Drosophila melanogaster: one gene and its partner. The gene in region 1 interacts genetically with each later gene. Each region holds a gene or a part of one and is shown on either strand. Other genes may lie near its edges. The genes, in order: RpL27A and PNUTS.

Evidence for each region.
Region 2: of RpL27A (region 1) and PNUTS, changing one suppresses a phenotype caused by changing the other (phenotypic suppression), as found in Drosophila melanogaster (one study listed by BioGRID).

Annotation. Positions count from the first base shown.
Region 1 is NT_033779.5:4,453,135-4,462,119, forward strand, and holds RpL27A (ribosomal protein L27A), read right to left. Parts: upstream 5,231-8,985; 5' UTR 5,158-5,230; coding exon 5,155-5,157; intron 4,924-5,154; coding exon 4,606-4,923; intron 4,541-4,605; exon of another isoform or gene 4,469-4,540; intron 4,376-4,468; coding exon 4,247-4,375; 3' UTR 4,241-4,246; intron 4,156-4,240; 3' UTR 4,052-4,155; downstream 1-4,051. Other genes in the region: Secp43 (tRNA selenocysteine associated protein), read right to left, coding at 157-1,131, 1,193-1,228; ND-B8 (NADH dehydrogenase (ubiquinone) B8 subunit), read left to right, coding at 1,595-1,692, 1,754-1,860, 1,922-2,004; Gs1l (GS1-like), read right to left, coding at 2,192-2,604, 2,980-3,198, 3,252-3,315; mRpL27 (mitochondrial ribosomal protein L27), read right to left, coding at 5,870-6,073, 6,132-6,295, 6,350-6,398; CG15435 (uncharacterized protein), read left to right, coding at 6,844-6,999, 7,070-8,425; CG15443 (uncharacterized protein), read right to left, coding at 8,690-8,985.
Region 2 is NT_033779.5:866,366-879,632, reverse strand, and holds PNUTS (phosphatase 1 nuclear targeting subunit), read right to left. Parts: upstream 9,169-13,267; 5' UTR 9,081-9,168; exon of another isoform or gene 8,293-9,080; 5' UTR 8,060-8,292; coding exon 8,057-8,059; intron 7,993-8,056; coding exon 7,895-7,992; intron 7,828-7,894; coding exon 7,553-7,827; intron 7,426-7,552; coding exon 6,094-7,425; coding exon of another isoform or gene 5,915-6,093; exon of another isoform or gene 5,484-5,914; intron 4,596-5,483; coding exon 2,896-4,595; 3' UTR 2,595-2,895; downstream 1-2,594. Other genes in the region: CG15824 (uncharacterized protein), read left to right, coding at 1-795, 860-1,241, 1,299-1,352; ninaA (neither inactivation nor afterpotential A), read right to left, coding at 1,460-1,663, 1,762-2,271; dbe (dribble), read left to right, coding at 9,857-10,894.

The DNA of each region.
Region 1 (8,985 bases):
TTTATTTTGAATCCTTTGTTAAGAAATGTAGATTCAGGAGCATAAAAGTTTATAGCAGGCTCAAAAACAATAATACGCTACAAGTCAGGCTTTTATATTTTTTGCTTATATCTAAGCTGTAATTATAGTAAGCTATAAATATAGTAGATAAGTATCCTAAAAGACTTCCAGCTGCTCAATGGGCAGCCACTTAGAGCTCTCCAGAGCATCGTACAGACGGCGGTCGGCATCAATGGCCTCTCGGTTCAGTTTGTCCACATCCAGGACGAACTTGTGCTCCACCAGTCCGTTCTCATCCTCAGCTCCATTGGCGGCGGAAGCGGTCTGCTGCTGCTGCTGCTGCTCGTACTGGGCGCTGCGTTGTGCGCTCCAGGCCTCGGCGTGCTGGGCCAGAGTCTGCGGATTAGAGTGCGACTGCGACATGGCCTGCTGGTAGTATGCAGCCGCATCTGTGATCGAAGCACCGGCCTGCTCGTAGTAACCTTGCCAGGCCTGGTATCCCTGCCAATAGGTGCTGGTGGGGTCGTAGTACTGCGAGTAGTCGGTGCCACCTGCTGCAGTCATACCGCTTCCATATCCATAGTTTGTGTTGCCTTCGCCCACAGCACCACCCAACTCGGATTTGGGTTTGGGCACGGCATTGCAAATCTTTATGGGCTTGGTACCCAATCCGATGTACCCGTTCATGTCGTACAGCGCTGATTTCTGCTCATCCTCGATGCCAAATCGCACAAAGCCGTAACCCTTGGAAAACCCCAGGCTGTCCAAGATCACCTTGGCGGTTTTGATCGATGTGAACTTGCTGGAGAACACCTTGTACAGCTGATAGTCGTCCACGTCCGAGCTGAGGTCGCCCACCCAGACGCTAAATTCGCGTTCATTCCCGGGCAGCTTGTACGAGTTGCTGGCCGAGTTAAGACGGAATCGCACAATGGGATTGGTGCCCGGAATGGGCTTACCGTTTAGCTTGTGCATCGCGTCCAGCGCATGGTCATCGGATATGAAGTTGACGAAGCAGTAGCCGGCCGGTTCGCCCGTGTACTTGTTGCGCATCAGGCGCACCGTGGTGGGATCTTCGCCCATCTTCCGGAAAGCGGCGATTATGAAGTTCTCCGTCATGTAGGACTCCAGCTGAAATGGCCATGCGGGCTTAAAGGGTCATGTGTCTGGGGTAATGCACGTTGCTACTTACGCTTCCCATCCACAGTTGACAATGCACGGACGCCATAATTGTTCAAATACGTGTTCAATTGAATATTTTCCAGAGACAAATGATGTTTACCAAAACAAATGAGTGACTGGCCGTCAAGCATTTATCGGTATTTATCGATGTGGGCCAATCAAATGCTGACCTGGTGTCAGCCAAGACAATTGCCTTGGTTCTTGTCTTTGGAATGGATATTCAAACGATGCAACTAATGGTTCGCGTCTCTGGTGAGTTAGACGTTATTTTAGTTTGAGCCAAAAAGTAATTTGTTTTTAAAAAACAATAATACCAATATGTAATCCAAGACAGTTTGACAACCCTGCGTAGTACCGACATTTAAATAGACTTACTTCCTGAACATTTCAAAATCGCAAAAGTGGTGCCAAAATGGGTATTACTCTGTTCCGATTGGCCAGTTTTACTCCAAAACTGAAGGAGCTGCGAATCATTCTGGATCCCAAAGGAGACACTTCCAAGGGAGTCAGGTGAAATTGTCATTTTCCGCTTTTAAATTATATAATTTGCTAAAGCAGCGTTCCTTTACAGGGAATACGTGGAAAGGTTCTATCCAAACCTGAAGAAGAGCAATCCCGACCTGCCGATCCTCGTGCGCGAGTGCTCTGGCGTCCAGCCCCGCCTCTACGCCCGCTATGGTGAGTAGATTAGCATAATGTGCGCTGCTAGCTTCCCCCACATCGATTCCCATGTCCGCAGGCAACGGCAAGGAAGTGTCCCTCTCCCTGGCCAACCACGCTGCTCCTGACATACACAAAAACCTGGAAGCGGTTGGCAAATAGAACTTACGCTGGAAAACTATGTAGATTAGGCGCAAAATAAAGGCAAAGCCAGATGCTTTATGCACACATACGTATACGTGTATATGGGATAACATTTACACTTAAATTCATTTTCTTGGTAGGTACATCGATTTCCAATTACAGCAATAGCATCTTTTAGCTACAAAAAGTACGTCAGCCATTAAGTTCAATCCGTGAAGGCGGGCAGCCCGAACTGCTCCGGCTTGAAGTCCGCCAACGAGGCCAGCACTTGTGTGGCGTGCGAGGTCTTTTCCTGGGACAGTCGTGGGTCCGGCACCATCACCACCTGCATTCCGGCGCTGTTGGCAGCCGTCACGCCGTTCGGCGAGTCCTCGAACACCAGGCAGTCGGACGGTTTGGGCGGCACACCGAATCTGCCGGCGGCCACTAGGAAAATGTCGGGCGCAGGCTTGCCGTTGACCACCTCCTTGTCCGACGAACCGCACACCTTGTGGTTAAACAGGGAGAACAGCTCCCGATGTTGGGCCGTCTTCAGCTCGACCATGTCGGCGCCGGAGCTGGTGGCCAAGCAAAAGGGTACCTTGTTGGCGTGCAGGTGACGCAGCAGGCGCTCAGCACCTTGAACGGGGAAGGAAGCACACGATTAACAAACGGCTTTAATCACAGTAGGATAGTAATTGAAGCAGAAGTATTTATAGGGAGAAATGCCGATTAGTTTTCTGGTCGTGGTGCTAACCTTCCAGCAGGGGTACGTTGTGGAATCGCTCGTGGCACATTTGCGAGTACCGCTTGAGATAGTCTCCGGTTGTGATGGGCAGCTGGCACTCGGTGATGGCTATCTCTGCCGAGCGCTGGTCCGTGGTGCCCATTACCCGGAAACGCACTTCCTCCGGATACGGGCGGCCAAAGGAGGCGGCTATTTGCCGGGTGACCTCCTCGTATATCCTCTCCGTGTCTGAAACGTGACGGCAAAGCGAGAACTGGGATTAGTACCTGGCATCAACTGGGCGTTCCGCATCAGGATCTCGGTGTTGGCGCGCTGCTGGCGTGCGTACTCCTCCCACGACATCGGCAGCTCGTAGTGCTCGACCATGAACCGGGCCAGCGGTTCCGTCTGCAGGCCCATGACCTGCTCCTTGATCTCAAAGGGATATGTCTTGCCGTAGGGCTCGAGGATCATTTCGGTGGCCACAGTATAAAGGCGTTCGGTGTCTGTTCGGCAAATAGTTAACACAGAAAGCAGATACAAGCACGGCAGCACTCACCCAGCAGCAGACCGTCCATGTCGAAGACGCAGTGCGTCACCTTTCGCAGCACTTTGTTGGCCATCTCGCAGCAGTTCTCCTCACTCTGGGCTTCCGATTATGTAATGTTACAAAGTCAACAAGTTCGTTTCCTAACTGCAACACAGAGGTCATAATCAAGTTACTTTGTTTTTACTGGAACATCCCCCGCCCACACAGGCATGCCCTCCACTTTGACTACGTTTCCTGGATTCGGTGCCTCTTGTTCGGTCGTGTCCTTGACCCAAGGTCGCCGCACCCCATCACCAACAGCAAGGTCAAAGATGGAAGTTGCCCTCATCCCTACGGCCTTGACCTACACGTAATCTGCTTCCGCTTTTTGCAATATCGGGCGTCTCGTACTTTTCCGCCTCTTCCGAATTTTTCCGCGAGCTTTCTGCCCGCCGCTGTGTGACCGTAGCTGCGAAGGCGCAAAAAGCCTAGTCGAGAATAGTGCTAAAAATGGAGGGATTAACTGATAATGCGCACCGACGCAGTTATACTCTTTAAATTACTATTTATTTTCTTTATATTATTACTGTTCCTCTTAAGTTACAAAAATAGGCATACTTCTAATATTGTCAAACTCATTTAAATTTGCCCTTGTTATTTGATTCAAAATACAAGTTTTCCTTTGCCACAACAAACTAACCATATAGAAATTATTCTTTATAAAAATATAAAGGAAAGTTGTAGCAGGAATAGAAATAGAAAGTTCTAAACAACTTGCGCCAAGCGAGCAGAAAATGAAGCCCCAATACCTTTTAGTAAACACATTTTGTCGGAATAGCAAATACTTGTTTTTCTTTTAAATTTATTAAAAAACAAATACATTTTTGATGGTCGAATGTAGTCCACTTGCTTTTTTCTTCTGTAGAGGAGGAATCTGCAAGGGAAACAATAGCAATTAGGATACTGCACTTCATTGCTTCGCCGACGAATAGGTAAGACAGCTAGACACACAAGCTCACCTTAACTTAGGCGCTCAGCAAGCACACACCGCCGGCCTTCTTGATCTTGTCCTCAGCCTTCTTAGAGAAGTACTTGGCCTTCACGATGACGGGGCGGGCGGGCAGGTGACCACGGCCCAGCAGCTTGTAGTAGCCCTGTGGAGACATGAGAAGGACACCAGAGTCAATACAATGGGTTACAACGGGGTGAGAACGGGTGCACATCCTCTTCAAGAACTGCTGGCTTTGATCTGAAAGGCTGTCCTCTACACGGTGAGAGCAATTGTACGGTAGCATTCTGTCCGCCCATCGCCTTGGGTGTATCTTCATGTTGAAAGCGGCAGCAGAGTTCGCGTAGCTGGATGGGGAATTCGGGCGAAACTTACGAATTTAACCAAGTCGATGACGGGAGCCTTGGTGCTCTTCTCCTTCTCCAGCTCGGCGAACTTCTCGGCTCCGACCAGGGACCAGAGCTTGTCCAGGTTGATCTCGGGCCTGAACTTGTGCTGGCGACGCAGATGGAAGTTCCTCATGCCCACCTTGCCGAAGTAACCAGGATGGTATTTGTCGAAGTTGATGCGGTGATGGTGCATGCCACCAGCGTTACCGCGACCTCCGGGATGCTTGCGGTGCTTGCCGATACGGCCGTGACCGTGGCTCACATGACCACGCAGCTTCCTGGTCTTCTTCCGCTTGATATTCGACTGTAAGGGAGAGCAGAAAAGAAACGTGTTTTCATTGAGCATTCCTCAATCATTTTCACCCACGTGCTGGAGGTTATGTTTACTTGCTCCAGTCGCTATGCTCACTTGGCCATTGCAGTCAGTGGGCAGGCATGCTGCGGCACTTTGAGTGAGCTCTTATTTCTATTCCACATCATTCGCCTGCCCACAAACCACATTTTAGGTGCACCACATTTACCGACGTCCACTCACCATCTTTAAAATTGTAGGAAAGAAAGAAGCGAAGTTGGCTGCGGTTGTAGCAGTGTGACCGCCCGGCGGCGATAACAAAAAATACGAAATACCATCCGGACAGAAAACATATACCCCTAACTACCATTTTAGTCTGAAAAAATATCTCGTACACACCATTATATTTAAGATAAATTTAAGTCTATATGCATTATGAAAATATATAATCATGAATAATTAAACATAATACTGCATATATAAGCGTTAAATTGAATTTCACTACAACAATACTAAATAAGTTTTTACATTCATAGGATAAAACGTGTACTTGATTTAAGCGAAATTCTGTAGGCAGTGCCTATACCGTCATGTGCATAATTTTATAATTTCTTATAGATGATTATGGCTTATTATTAAAGTTCATTTTACAGTTCAATAGCGTTCGGCTTGGCTAAAAAAGGGGGAAGTGTAGTTTTTGTTTTTGAAGTTCGCAATGTAAAAAGTTTTGCGAAATTAATAATCGAAAATGTTGCATTGATATCTGGCTATTAACTGGATTTCTTTTCAAATTCGGGGCGTGTATTCGATAGTTGGTTCAGAGCATTGCTAAATACAGTGCTGTATAACGGTCGTGCTGGCATGTAAATATAACAGGTGCTGTTAAGCACATCGATGTTAATTGCCAAAAATTCAAATATTCACATTTCCATTTGGTTTAAATTTTGTATTTAACAATCTAGATTTCCTCCACTAGACGAAATCGCTGATGCTGATTTTCGGGCACAACATTGAAGAACTTCTTGTAGATGTTCTGGCCCTGGCGACCGGCGTAGTTCCGCTGAATCCAGGTGTGGTCCCAGTTGGGATCGATGGCCTCGCAGGTCACATAAACCTTGCCGTGCTCCATGGCGAAAAGGGTTCCATTGCGGCCAAAGCCCACCTTTCAATGGGAAAAAGTATAAAAATATGCCGGGATAACTCCTTCCTGCGCTACTCACATTCAGGCCCGGATGAAAGCGCGTTGTGAGCTGGGTGGCCAGTATTGTGCCCTCGGAGACGTGGTGCCCATCCTGGACGCGCCATCCGCGATGTTTGGGCCTCGCATGGCCCTTCTTATTCCTCGTACTTCCGCCGGTTTTCTTGCTGGCATTGCGCACGGTGGCTAAATGGGATTGAATTGATTAGAATATGCAACCGGTTCGTGGGAAGTCCTTACTCATCAGCGGCTGGTCTGCCTTCAGGCACTGCATGGTCAGCTTTTGCATGATATTAAACGACATATTTGTGATTTTATTCCAGTAGCGAGGTTTGTTTATGCAATTCCAGATGGGCACCAGTGTGACCCCCGAGTTCAGCTAGATCAAGAGCATTAACAGACTGTTGGCCACTGTTGCCAATTGGTGTTAATAAAATCTAGCTTTGTAAATATATATCAAATAAATCTACGTTTGTATTTTCAACAGTATTATTTATGCTTAAATAAACTATCGTCTTAGTCATTAATATATCTGTCACGTGTTTAGCTAATAATAATTAATATTCAAAAAATTTGCTGTAATCCTGTTATAGCTAACTGGACATCACTGCCGCAAGTGGGTGGACTGTTGAGTTTTGAACCTTCAGTGGTAGGGCAACACTCGCCGGAGTGTTGAAAATTGTCATTGTTTATTTTTTCCGGCATAAGCATTAAGTTTAAGGTTTGCCATAAGTATGACGTCGTGGGGCAATATCTGCCGCATCTGCAGCAGCCCCGCAGACTACGAGATATTCGCCAAGATTCCCACGTATTTGCACGGCTCCACAAACGAGTTTCTCAACTGGCAAAAGCCCATAAACGTTCTGCTGGAGGAGACGACGGGCCTGAAAGTAAGTGACTCCATTCTAAAGTAGCCAGATAAATGTTTATATGAGTGCCTCCTCTTTCGACCGACCGCAGAACTCCACGGACGACGGACTGCCACGCAACATATGTGCGCCGTGCATCTCCTATCTCAAGCATGCCGTCACATTCCGGGAACAGTGCATCAAGAACGCGCTGAGTCTCAAGCTGGCGGAGCTCTACCAGCAGAAGAGGGTCAACGTTTCGGATGCGAACAAGATGGACAAGGAGAGCGCCCTCTTCACGGCGGAGGATCTGAATTATGTGGAGCAGAGGCCAGTGCATAATCTTCTGCTAAACAACAGCGCCAACAAACTGGAGTCATCCAAGGACAAGGTACACAAGCGACTGCTCAATCAGACGACTACCCAGCTAGACGGCAATGCTGAGCAGAAGATCCAGTACTTAAACGTGCTGTTCAACAAGCAGCAGCCTCACAACAGCATGCCCAGGCAACCGCGGGATGGCGAACTGCCATCGAGCAGTGGCCAAAATGACGACGAAGATGACGACTATGCGGTGGCCAGTTCCAGCGACGACAACGAGGAGGCGGCCCTGCTGCGCAAGCACAAGAACTGCTATAACTACACCGAGACCAACTTCGAGGAGGACGATCCCATGGAGCAGGATCAGCTGCAGCTGCGCGACATCAAAGTGAACATACCGGAGCCCATGTGGAAGGAGCGCAAGTGTCCGGCATGCTCCAAACGCTTCATGTTCGAGGACTCGCATCAGTCGCATCTGGACAACTGCGTCGAATACCAGTTCGTCACGTTTGTTACCGAGGTGACCAAGTTGCTCGAGATTAGGCGACAGAAAATGGTCTCGCCGCACGAGTTCATCCGCCGCATGATATTCGCTCTGCACAAAACTTGCGCCTGGCTGCAGGAACATTCCATAGACTCGCTTCTGGCCGAGAAGCTCAATCAGGTGAAGGTGTCCAACGGTGAGAAGATAGCTGAGCCGCCAATTCCCATAGATATACCCGATCCCCGGCCGGTGCAGGAACCATCTCTATTCGACTGTGCCAGCGGAACGACGACTCCGATCACGGAGGAGAACAACGTGCTGTACGCCATTGAGCGCTCTGAAAGTTGCCATTCCCAGGGCACGCCGACGGTGAAAAAACCCATTCCCATTCGCGGAAAGGCGGCGCTGGGAATCGGGCTGGACAAGCACAGGGAGAGAGCCACGTTCCTCGAGAAGCTGCAACGGGCCGCTGTCTCTCCTGGCACAGTTTCGCAGGGTCCAGCGCCCGTTTTCTCAGCCCGCTGCGGGCAGTGCAATTTAGAATTTGACTCAGTCTCCGAACTGGAGGTGCACAACCACAATGCCCACAGGGGCAATGAACTGAACGCCGACGACGAAGCCAAAAGGCGTCAAATAATCGCCCTCTTCGAGGATGATATTTAGGTTTTACAAAGTCCTGTTTTTCATGCCGGTGGCTCAATCAAACTAGTAATCATGTTGACCACTTTGCATCTGTGTTTTTGTCGTATTGTATTTATTTATTATTTATTTATTTTATTCTGTTTCCATTAGTGATTTAGTTTTGCTTAGCGGCAATCCATGTTCATTTACAATACATTCTCGAGTACTCAAAAGTCCGTGGCTTTATATTTATATGTACTCTAAGACCAATAAAGAGATTTGCAAGACTTATTCTTAACCATAAGCCTATGCGTATATTTGCAAGCTATTCAGTACCAGGTTGGAATCTGCTACCTTCAAGTGCAGACAGTTCTTGAGCAAGCGCATCGCGTCCAGGTTGAGATCTGGATCTCGCAGAGCGAAGAGCTGGTTTAGGGTTTGCACAAGATTCTGCGGGTCTGCCAGTGCGAATATTAGACTTGTGTCACCTAGGGCTACCAGATTGGTCATTACACGCACGGCGTAGATTAGGCACAGCCGGTCGGCTGGCGATGCTAAGGTGGCTTCAAAGAAACGCACCAGGCATTCGGCCTGTTGAGCAT
Region 2 (13,267 bases), 3.6 Mb from region 1:
GGAGCCACTCGGAGCGAATCAGATACGTGTGAAGGGCATTCTCGGTTTCAGCGAGAGCTTCCGCCATTCCTTCGGAGCGATGATCAACAACAGCGACTCCAGCTACTTTCATCTGAGGGGGCAGGGCGTTATGCCCATGCTGGAAATGGCTTCTCCACTGCCTTCTGCGCCTATGGATCCCTTGGAGGTGGAGGAGGAGTACCGGATGCTGCAAAAGATTTATCACTACGAGATATTTCGCTCCATCACGGAGGTCGATGAAGAGCCGAAACGCGCGGATGGCGAGGAGGAGAACCAAGTGGAGGAAAAACCATCCATCACCGAGGATTTCTCTTTGCTCTCCGCCAGCGAGTCCGAAATGTCCTCCGAGCGGAAGGAAGCGCACGATTTTCAACTCTTCCGCATGGTCCACACCTACGTGATGGTGAACAACAACCAGGAGCTGCCCCATGCCACCGTCCTGAGGCAACTGATCCTGGCGGAGCGGTACCTAAAGCGACTCCGCTCAAATCAGGAGTTGTACAAGCTGCACCAGCAGGTCCATCAAACCTACCAAAAGATGCACAATTCACCGGGACTCAAACAGTCGGCTATGGTGAAGCACTTCACCGTCCAACCCATTCCGTGCGAGCAGCACGGTTACGTCCTTGACCTGGGTTCCATGGCCAGGAACTCCGTGCGGCGCTTCCAGCTAAAGCTGCACTTCTTCGGACCCGGCAAACTCATTGCAGCAGCACGCACGGCCGTCAGGATTCCGGGCTTATATGTGGACTTCAATGTCACGGATGCCAAGCAGTAAGTAGTATAATCTGATGCATTTTAATTTATAAGAAACTCAAATAATATCAATATCCCTAAGCTCCGACAAAAAGTTCTCCTTCTGGGCTGAGAAGTGCACGGCACTGGAGTATTTTAAGAAAAAGTACAGGAATATGATGGAGCGACTGATGGACGCGGAGCAGGATCCCAAGGTGAAGCACGCCCACTCCTTTGACCTGGACACTATGGTCCAGCACCAGCGGGATCTGGCGCCCAAGGACCGACGCCTAATCGAGGAATACTACAACAGCCTGAACCGTTCCGTTTATCCAGACCACAAGCACCACTTCACGCTGGCCAAGATCTTCTCAGGCTGCTTGTCCAACTATTCCGGAGTGGACGTGACCATGGTTGGGCTCTTTAAGCCGGAGTCGCGGTTCTACAAGAAGGATCAGCACGTGGAGGACTACCTCTTCATCGATGTAAGTTACACTGACATAAGCTGAGCTAATCCTTAAATGCTAACACGTATCCCACAGTTGCACATGGGACCGACTCTTCCCATCCTACTGAAGGCCGTGCTCGTATCCTAGTGAAGTCCTTAAGATTTGTATGCATTTATTGTGGGTTTCATTCCATTCGGAGTGTATGGGGGCTTCTTAGTCTTATGTGCAGTAATAAAGCTTATACTCCAAAGTCCTCAGCAGTACATGTTGAGCTGGCGGAAGAAGTAGTGGAAAATGAGCAGAACGCAGAAGGAGCTGGTCACGGGCAGACCAGCCGCCTTGATCCATCCGAGGATGTTGAAGTCGTCCGGGTAGAACTCGAACTGCTCCGTGGGTATCTCGCCGCAGTTGGAGATCACCACGGGTTCCACGGGGAAGTCATCCGTATCGGTTTTTACCTGGAACGAAAAATGTGTCAGAAAAAGTTTCTTACATTTCTGTGTGGTGGCTATGCGTTTAAGCCACGATTGTGGTTCCGGTTTGCTTGAATACTCACATCCTCAATGGCATAGATGGTGTCCATTCCCTCCAGCACCTTGCCGAAAACGGTGTGCTTTCCGTCCAGCCACTTGGCGCCCACGGTGGTCACATAAAACTGGCAGCCATTGGTGTCCGGGCCCCGATTGGCCATGCCCAAGTAACCGGGTCTGTTGTGCTCCACCGCCAGAGCCTTATCCTCGTCCGGAAAGTAGTCCCCATAGATGCTAATGGAGCCAGTTCCGTCGCCGTTCACAATGTCGCCGCCTTGGACGAGAAAGCGGTCCACCACGCGATGGAATCGCGAGCCCACGTAGCTGGTCCCGTTGATGCCGCGCAAGCAAATGTGCCGGAAGTTGGCCACCGTCTTGGGAGCCAGCTTCCCGAACAGTCCAAACGTGATCCTGCCCACCGGCTTCTTGTTGTGCTTCACATCCATGTAGATCCGAGACGTGACCGTGAAGCTCAGACCACTGGCCACGGCCAGAAAGGCGCTGCACAGGATTATCCGATTGAGCAATGACTTCATGATTTTACGGACCTAACGCGCTGATGAAATACACGTAACTGAAACGAAGACTGGACTGTGGAAACTATACGAGTAGAAAGTCAATTCTGGGTCGCGGGCCTGGAAACGGAAGCCACAAAAGTTTCAGGTTAAGTGCAAGCACCGCATGATGATGGCATACCCTCTGCAGACATCGATTTCAGCACCCGGCAGCAAACATCTTGTTCGGTTTAATGGCAAACGTAATGTTTGGCTCAACTATGTTAATAACTAAAACTTCAAAAGTATCGTTTCTAAAAGTGCATTCAATTCGTTTCACTAAATAAATCAACTGCATTGGCTTTGCATCATATGACTTGATATTTAATTGTGTAAATTTAAACTTATAAATATTTAACCTTATGGTAATCAGCATAATAATAAAGTTAGCGGGGCAGGGAATTGAACCCAGATCTTAGGCTAAAAACTTAGGGATAGACTGCGTCTACACAAAAATATACCGAATACATATATACACTTAGATTAACTTGCGGCGGCTAACCTGGATACAGTCTTCATGTGGGGACTCGATTTCGGAAATCTTGGCCTCCGTTGCGCGTCTGAGATCTATGCAGCTGAATCTTCCGCAGAAGATTCGGGTAGGTCCTACAAGCGCTTCTTCTGCGGATGCACATACTTGCAGTTCTTGCCCATGTTGCAGTGTCCTCGCATGAACTGCTTGCAGACGCCGGTGTTGCCATTGCCTCCTCCACCTCCTCGATTGGGGCCAGATCCTGCTGAGCGCCAGTTGCCGCCGGAGTTCTCCTGGAAGTTGTTGCCCCCGCTGCGCCAGATGCCGCCGCCGTTGTTTTTGTTCCTGTTGTTGTTGTTGTTGTTATTCCTAGGTCCGCCCATCATCAGTCCTGGCCCCATTCCATTGGGCGGCCCGTTCATCATGGGTCCATTGGGTGGGCCGTTCATCATGGGGCCGTTGGGTCCCATCACTGGACCATTGGGTCCCATTACCGGTCCCGGACCTGGTCCATTCATCATCATGGGCGGGTACTGATTGAATCCAGGTGGTGGGCCGCTTCCGAATGGAGACACTGGACTTCCAAACTGATTGCCCATAAAGTTTTGCGGTGGCATGTTGTTCATGTTCATATTGCTCATATCCATTCCGGGGCCACCGGGTCCGTTCATCATGGGCGGTACACCGGGCGGCCCACCTACCGGACCCATTTGGTTCTGCCAGATTTGCGGCGTTCCGTTGGGCACTTGATTTGGCATCATGTTTGGTCCGGGTGGCATTCCCGTGGGAGCAGGCATGCCTCCCATGAACGGATCGAATGGATTTTGCATTAGGTTCGGTCCAGCTCCCAGTCCGGTCAACATATTGTCATTGAAGCCCATGTCCGATCCGCTGATATTTGCTCCGACTCCCGAGCTAGGCGCGTATTTCTTGGGCTCCGGCCACGCCAAGGCACTGTAGTCGTTGACAGCATCCGGATTCCCCGTCAGGTCATCCATGGGTATCACGGGAATGTCATGAGCAAAATGCGGTTCCAGTTCCGCCTCCGCAGGACTGTCGGGAATCATGTCGGGCGAGAAGTACAGGGCTCTTAGAGTGGTGGCCTCCCTGTCCATCTGCACCTGGCGCTGCTTGGAGAGGTTTCCGTTCGGGTGGTCGGGCACATTATCGACTTCGAGTAGTGGCCGCCACTCCATTTGCGGCTCCATGGTATCGTCGAATCCACGCCGAGCAATGGTCAGCGCGTCCCGCTCGCTGAATCGCTCCATGTTCTTCATTTCCAGGAAGGTCTGCTTCATCACATTTACGCGCTCTGAGCGATCGACCTCGAAGTATCGTATCTGGGTGAGCTTTTCCTCTGACTGCCAGGTTAGCTTCTTTTTCGGGCCCTTGCGGCGGTGCAGCGTGAGCACTCCCGGTGGTCCATCGGGTCCACAGCCAGGTCCAGGCTTCTTGGGCTCCTCGGGAAGATCTTCAGCGTTGTCAGAGGTGTTACCCGCTTCTCCGCCTTCTCCGCCTGCCGCAGCCTTCGCCTTCTGCACCTTTTGCTCGATGTCCTCCTTGACCCTCTTAAGGGGAATGTCGTCGTCATCGGCATCCGTGTCCTTGCCAGGTGACGAGGAGCGCGCATCATCGTTTTCCTTGCTGCTGTCGTCCGACTTCTCCTCGCTCTTCGACTCGTCCAGAGTATCCTGGTAGAACTTAAGCGGCGCCAGTGGCGCGTCCTTGTCCGTGGGCGATGTTGCAGACGTACGCTTGCGCTTCACCACCTTTTTGGGTTCGATGGAGGCGGCCAGGGCGTCCGAGAACAGGTTGGTCTCCACCAGGGTTTGAACTGGAAAAATGAGGGTAAAGTAAGTAATCGCTCCAGTAATTGGTTTAGTTAAGAAAATGTTTAAGTGGCCTTCGTTGAATGGCCCATTGGCTTTGGTGGATTTTGCTTTTGCTGGAAATTGCTAGAAGTAAAAAAGTTATGGAAAGAAACAATCTGATCTGGACACACACATTTGTTGTGTTTATGATTGATTGATTAAGTTTACCCACATTTCGATAATTAATGAAATGGGAGTCTCTCTACTGGAATAAGCACCGAATATATACCAAAACCTAGAACTACTAAACAATTCATGAATTTTCCCCAAAAGTTCTTTAAAAGTTTTGGCTTGCTCGACTTTATTCGGTATAATTTCATATATAAATGTCAAAATGTAATTATTCGACTTTTTTTTATTTAACTAGTTTTTCAACACAAATAGTGTTTAATCATCATAATTAAAATAGTTATAAGCTCTCATTGCGATTGAAACTTGAGAAGTACGCTTATTAAAAGTGTATTGCTAAGACTACTAGTTATACGCAATAGTTAAACCTCTTTAAACTTTGATGCTTTTAGTATATTTATGTCAGCACATCGATAAGTGTCATTGGGTTTCCTCAGCACTAATCTACCCAAGGAACCCGACACTGCGATCAGATTACGCGCACCGTGCAGCTTACTGCCAAGGTGACGCATCCGCTGATGACGCACTACGACGAGGATGTGGGTAAACTAGGGTTGCCTGCTCTAGCGAGGCGAACAATTGTGGAGACCCTCGGTGACGCACGACAGCAAAATCGAGGCCAAAGCAAAGCAGCTGGGACTCAAGCCCACGGTGGTGATCGAACCACCTACCAACTTATAGAACCGCCAGCTTAAGTCAATATTTTCGTTTTCGTTTCTTTTGCGCTCAATGCATTTTTTTATTCAATAGAAAAATCGTATTTTTCTAGAGGAAACCGTATTTTATTTGTAAGTCTTTAAGGTGGGCTGCTCGCCAAGTGAATCTACATACCTTATAGCTAAGCTAAGCTAAATACGTTCAAGATTTGAGGTTTGAATACTTAACATCAGGCAGCGACAACGACGACGACGACGGCGGCGGCGGCATCGTCTGTGCCTCAGATTTCGTTTTCGTTCGGTCTCAGCGCATGCGCAGTGCCCAGATTTCGGGATTCAACTCCATTCAACTTCATCCGCCGTCATCCGGAATTGAGGTCATAGACTCACACTCGGGCAGCTTGCAGTTCAAACTCGATCCGGGGATAACACCGCCACGATTGATACATTATAATGCAAAGTACCCACACTAAAAGGCCCCACTTCTGCTCTACAATTTAAGACCCGCCCCAAGCAAAATTAAACACCTTGAGAATGGAATGGAGATCAACAAATAATACGGCGGAGTTCGACATTCGACTCCGATCGAAAACAAAAGCAAAAGCCACCAAAGTTCTTGGGCTGTGGAATAAAATAGAGAAGAGCATTAATAGTGATTCTAGCATCTGTTGCTTACTCTTTTTGGGCGCTATCAGCTTGGCGGCTCCGGGCCTCTCCACATGTCCCGCGACGTTGTTGATGTCGATCTTGGCCTTCTTGTCGGTGGACAAATCCCTGGGTGGCGGCGATGGTCGCTTCAGTGAAGACGGGACTGCCATTAAAGCGGGTGAAGCGGCAACCGCCGACGATGTGGGCTTCTTTAGGCCCTTGCGAGATGGGGGAGGCGGAGCCTCTTCCGTCAGGCCATGCGATCTGAATTTGGACTGGTACGTCTTTACAGTGGCCGTCTTTTCGGTGTCCCGGCGAATTTCTATCGAAATGGAGGCCTTGCGGGACATGATAGGAATCGATCTGGGCTTCTGTGCGTCGCTCTCCTTTGCCGAAGCTGTAGGAGATGTACCTGCAGCATTTGATGCTGCCACAGCTGGCGGAGGCATTAGCTTGTTGTCCTTGTCCTTGTCCTGCCTCGAGGATGAGGATGATGACGAAGTTGACGACGACGACTTGCGATCTTTGGACGAACTAGAACCAGAGCTGCTCGACGACGACGACGACGACGACGAGGAGGACTTTGAGGACTTGTGTTTATTCGAGGAAGAAGAAGACGAACCGCTGCTGCGCTCCCGGTCCTTGCTCGAGCTGGAGGAGCCGGAACTTGAGCGAGCCTTGTCTTTATCGCGGTATTTATCGCTAGAACTGCGATGGGAAGAGGAAGAAGATGAGGAGCTCTTGGAAGAACTGCTCTTCGAAGAGGAGGATGACGAGGAAGAGGACGACTTATGGCTAGATGAGGAGGACCTATGACTTGAACTTTCCTTCTTTCTATCCTTCTCGCGCTCCTTCTCGGACCGTTTACTTTTGTCGCTCTTTGAGCTCTTATGCTTCTTATTATCCACGTCCTCCCCAGACTTAACCTCCGCCGCGGAGCTACTATCATCTAACCCGGACTTTTTCCCCAGACTAGCATCTGCTAATAAGTGGGTTGCGGAGGAGCCCTTTTCCAGATGTTCCACCTCGTTGTCTTTCGATTGTGTGCCAGAATCCGTTTCGTCGCCACCATCTGGGTTGTCCAACAAAGGCTTCCACTTGATGGTAATGCTGTTGGAATTGCTACTGTTGGCCGCCGAGGTGATGGTATACGTCACAGGTGCTCCGGCGCTATCAGTGCTGTCTGAAGAAGAGGCAGAGTCCGGAACTGAAGCGGAGCCAGCTCCAGAAACGGATGCAGGAACCTGAGAGGCAGTAGTGGCTGCAATATGTGGCGCAGCACCTTGGATCGTCATGCTTGTGTTTTCCGTCACAATCTTCAGCCACTGCTCTACCAAACGCTTGGCTAGAATGCGTACACCTGGAAAACGGGGTCGAGAAAAGCCAATTAGTAATCCCTAGGTAATTAAAAGCATAAAGGACAGCCCAAAACATGACCCAAAAACACTAATCTACGACTAGAGTAAGACTTATCAAAGAAAACTTACCTTCGTTGCCGCCATCCTTGCACAGCCCCTTGACCAGAATAGGTGCTGAGTTTATCTTGAGGCGATTGACATCCACGGGAGAAAGGAGCAGCAGTTCCAGGATCTCCTGTACCAGCGGCCAGTTCATGGCCCTGATGGCATCATTTAACCAGGTGTAGACCAGCGACCAACCGCCCACCGCCATAAAGTCGCCCAATAGTTCCGTCTTTGTGGATTTCAGAATTTGTACATACACACATTTCGAGACGAGTTTTTTTGAATACTTGGCCATCAAACTGTGGGCGAAAAACTTGATATTAGCAAACGCCGATAGGTGTCGCTGCTGACAAGTGGTGAACTTACCCCGAAATGCGTTTCACCTCCACTGCACTTAAAATTCCACCATTATTGTCCAAAAGCACCCGCAGGCACCTCAGCAATTGCAGTGGAACTATACGAGGCTGTCGAATAAAAACATTAAATAAAGCACAACTGTTGTTGCATTTCCTAGCCAATATAACTCACCATTTTCTTTGTTAGTCGTGCGAAAGAAGAAAATTTATCTGGCAACGCTAACTCCCTATAGCCGTCTCTCTTCCACACTTGTAGGTGTGACCATACGCAACGTGTGCGCGTGTGTTGGATCGTGCGTGTGTGCACCGACACTCGCTTTTGTTGGTATGGGTGTCTTAATAGATACTAAATTTCCACTGATTACGTAATTCCATAAGAATTCGCTTTTTCAAGGACTGCAATAGTATCTAAAATAGGAGAAAACACCAGTCTGAGAACAAATTTAGCAGGATAAAATTTTGCTATATCCCTACAATTCACTTTTAAGACGAGTATTAAATAAATTCCAGCAGCAGCGCCAAAATATGATAAATGCTGTTATTTTATTGTCTCAACTGGCAGTAAACCAATAATCCCTCCGCTTGAATGTTTTGTTTTTTGTTTTGGAGCTGCAGAAAACGTGTTTTACGCGTTGCGATTTTTTCAGGCACTGATGAAATTCGGACGTGTGCTCGCGGCTATCGGTAATCGATAAGCCAGTGCAGCCCTGAAGGCTGTCCACTCTCAGAAAACCGAAAATTATATATTACGACGTATTGGTATTGATACGAAAACATGCGTTCGTCTGAACGTTTGTAGCACAAATGTCTCTCTACCTCGTTTTTGGTTACAACCCAAATTTGACTTTAGGTACAAGCAAAATGTGAAAGTTACTTAGTTTTTCTGTTAAAGCAGGTTGGCAGCGCCTTGCCACGCACACAACAATGACGCCATTTTGATTTTCACAATTTTTCACAAAGGCGTAATTAAATCCGCAGCCAAGGGAAATGCTAGAAAATTGTCTTTTAATAGCAACTTCAACAATATCGGCCACTTTATATTGATTTTTCTTTGTTTAATCCTAATTATCGGCTTTCGTTCACGTCCACGCCCCAAAATTGGACATGCGGTTAGGTCCGCACACTTAGGTCGAGCAAATCGGTAATAAGCCTTCCAGAAAATATATATTAAATGTACAATTGTTTATCGGCCTTACAATTTGTTAAATATTTAATTGGCGACGATTTTTCTATCTCTCCGAAAACTCCTGCGTGCGCTTTGCTTAGGCTCACAAAATCGTGTGACCTTTCCTTGCTTGAAAATAAAAGTTTGTTTAGAAAATACCAAAACGCATAGTCGGAATATGGTAATCTAATTAATACCCCTATTTTGAAAGTACAAACAATAATTATTTACTTAAAAACACTTTTAATATAAATGGATTTAGTTTCCCGTTAACAGTTTCAAAAACTATCCACGGTGGATAATAGCGAATGCTATAAAAAGAAATTTATTGAATTAAGATTTTAATTCATCTTAATTATTCTAACACATATAATGGCATAAGTTATAGATACCCTGAGCTCTTTTTCAATTAAATAAAATTTGTGAAGGTGTCAGGGCTAAATCATGTATTGTTTGACTTATTTCTTATATTTTAGATATTCAGAATTGCATATTTTATTAGTATTGATGTACCCAATATCCTTAATATTTGAGTTACATTGGAATCGCAATTTTGTTAAGGCATTTATCTGGCACACGATCAAATATAATTGTATTTGAATATATATTTTAAAACATTCTCAATCGAAAAATTTATTTTATAATCAAGATAAAAATAAACCTTTAAATAGGTAATCTATCAATAATATTAACCAACCAGTTTTCCCTGATATGGTCACACGCATTTACCGCTGATCTGGCAGCCTGGCCAAAACAAGCGTGCAAGAATCTTACCTGTAGAATTAGCTTCTGAAAACTCGAGTAACGATGAGCGAAAGTGAAGCGGAGGAGACCAAAATCAGCACCGAGCCGGTGGACAATGCGTGGTCCATGAAGATCCCTGCCTTCAGGCAGGAGGACAACCCGCATGGGATGGTGGAGGAGAGCTCCTTCGCCACGCTGTTTCCCAAATATCGGGAGCGCTATCTTAAGGAGGTTTGGCCTCTGGTGGAGCAGTGCTTGGCGGAGCACCACCTGAAGGCGGAGCTAGATTTGATGGAGGGGAGCATGGTGGTGAAGACCAGTCGCAAGACCTGGGATCCCTACATCATCATCAAGGCGCGGGATATGATCAAGCTGATGGCCAGAAGTGTTCCCTTCGAGCAGGCCAAGCGGGTCCTGCAGGACGACATTGGGTGTGACATCATCAAAATCGGAAACCTTGTGCACAAGAAGGAGAAGTTCGTGAAGCGGCGACAGCGTTTGATCGGACCTAACGGCGCCACCCTTAAGTCCATTGAACTGCTCACCGATTGCTACGTTTTGGTTCAAGGAAACACAGTCTCCGCCTTGGGTCCTTACAAGGGCCTTCAGCAGGTGCGGGATATAGTCCTGGAGACCATGAACAATGTGCACCCCATATACAACATTAAGGCTCTGATGATCAAGCGGGAGCTGATGAAGGATCCGCGTCTGGCCAACGAGGACTGGTCCCGATTCCTGCCCAAGTTCAAGAACAAAAACATTAGCAAACGCAAGCAGCCGAAGGTCAAGAAGCAAAAGAAGGAGTACACCCCATTCCCGCCCAGCCAGCCGGAGAGCAAGGTGGACAAGCAGCTGGCCAGCGGAGAGTACTTCCTCAACCAGGAGCAGAAGCAAGCGAAGCGCAACCAGGAGCGCACCGAAAAGCAGAAGGAGGCGGCCAAGCGCCAGGACGAACGCCGAAACAAGGACTTTGTCCCGCCCACGGAGGAGTCAGCTGCTTCAAGTCGGAAGAAGGAGGATGGCTCCTCCTCCAGCAAGGTGGACGTGAAGGCCCTGAAGGCCAAGCTGATCAAGGCCAACAAGAAGGCGAGGAGCAGCTGATAGTTTTCCTAGTTTTAATTAGTAGTAGGACCTATTCAATAAAAATTGATTTTCTGAGCAACGTGTAAATAGAAATCTTAAGGTTTACTAATGGGATGAAAAGTTTGTGGGGACGAACTCGTATTAATTCTAGTTGTTTTTAAAAGCCAATCTCCAAAAATGCAATGGATACATAATGCTAATTCAGCATATAACATGCTGAATACCTTATACTTGTAATAAAATTAAATTAAATACTTATACAATAATTTTGATTCTATTGCGGTGCCCGCTAGTGTAGAGAGAGATCTCTTTCTCTCCCTCTCTCTCTCTGTCGCACTCTCTCAACAAGTGGCTTAATACAAATATATACAAACAACTCAAAAGGCCAGCGAATGAGCCAAGTTAGTACGATTTCTGGTACCGGACTGACATGTACTAACCGCGCTTAAACAGCGGATGACGCTCGCGTGCGTTCCACAATAACAACAAAAACAGTATCTGAAAAGCCACGGCAACAACAACATTGGCGTCGCGGGGCTATTGTTATTCGTACGTTTATTTTCCGCAAGCGACAGAAAAATAGAAAATAGAAAAACGGTCTGTGAGAATCAAAAAGAACGGAGCGAAAGAAAGCCGTCTTAAAAATAAAAATCAAAGAGGAGCGAGAAAGCACTAGACCAAAGGCGGCGGCTGCCAGAAAAGGACGGAGAGAACGGCGAAGACAGGTAATAAGGAGGTGGAAGAAGAAGAGAGGATTAAGTGCTGGACTACAGTTACTTTTAATGTTTGAATTAAAATTGAAACAATGCTCGAGTGATCGCAGTTGTAACGCCTAAAACCGAAGCTAAACCCGAAAATAAGCCCGAAAGCCAGTTGAAATGCCAAGCAAACGTGACAGAGACTTGGATTATTCGTGCTAATTAGAAAAAGAATGTGCTGCTAGGTGAGAGGATGATATCGAAATGCTAACGTGATATCGATACCTGTGTGTTGTGCGTGTGTGTGCGAAGGGAGTGTATACACATACATATGAATATCACACATTTCACCGGAAAATGCGGTCAATTAGAATAATACATACAGCGAATTGAGCCTGTGTCTGTGAATTAGTGAATGAATTGAACAAAGCATTGAAAATCAATACGAAACCTGCCGCCGCTCCCACTTTTGTACATACAGTAATGCGTCGGTGAAGTAATACTCGATTGCGGGAAATCTGGAACATATACTAAGTTCAATCATTTGAAATTGGTTAGATTATTAATTTAAATAATTGCCTAAAGAGCTTCAAGGATGTTATTTTCAATTAGATTACTTATTTGAGGGTCCACTGTATATCCGCGCTCGCACATTACTGTGAAGCCTCACCTGTGTGAGTGCGGCTTATAGGCGACGTGTGTGTGTGTGTCTGAGAGAGGCTCGTGGAATATAAACAGCGCACAGTGAGAGAGGAAAACGGAAAACAGGTGGAAAAGAAAGCTTAAAAAATGCGGTCGGTCAAAAACTAAAGTTGCAGCAACAGGCGAGGGGGTGGCGGGTGCCGGGGGGCTCGAGACACGGAGACAAATACCTTTTCAAGCCGCACACACCAGCGCAAGCAAAGACGTCAGCTTATCTGCCACGCATGCGCGCGAGGGGGACGACAATAGTGTGGATCGGGGTGTCGATGTCTCTCCACCCCCCTCCAGCCCACCACCATCTAACGAGCGGGTTTCCACCCAAAGAACAGCAAAAACAACTATTGTCATTTGTTGTTTTGCCATTTGCTTCGTAAACCAAAAAGTATGCGAGATAAAATAAAAAAGCAAGTGTACCGCACGCCGCCGTTTTATCTAAATCCCAGCTGTCTGAATTATTTGAGGCTCTAACACCCCATCTCACGCTTATCAGGACCCAATTAATTATCTTCACCTGAATGGAAGCTATGCTTGGGGCATGTCTCCAGGTTTATGGTTCTTGTCGGGGAGTTCTTAGATACCAGTGCAGTTATGTATCTTAGATTGCCTTACCGAGGCTTATAATTTTCCCCTATTTACAGATGCATAGATACATATGTGTGGATTGCAAATATTTCAAGATTATAGAAGTACAAAAGTAGTAATACTTATATTATAAACATATATGTATTTCATTTAGCATAATGTTTTTGTAGATGTTTATGATGACTTAACTTAACTTCAAATCACCCAGCAGCTTTAGTACTTTCTCTAAAGCATGATTTATGCAAGCCCAACTATTTCCATGTTACCCAAGTGCGATAATGTTTATCGCGTTTCGTCATTGGCCTCTAAGCTGCTGTAGAGTTAGGAGCGAAAACACAAATCTGTCAAATTCCACAAGTGTGATGCAATTTGGGGCTTGTACGAACAGTAAAACGCTGAAATATAACAC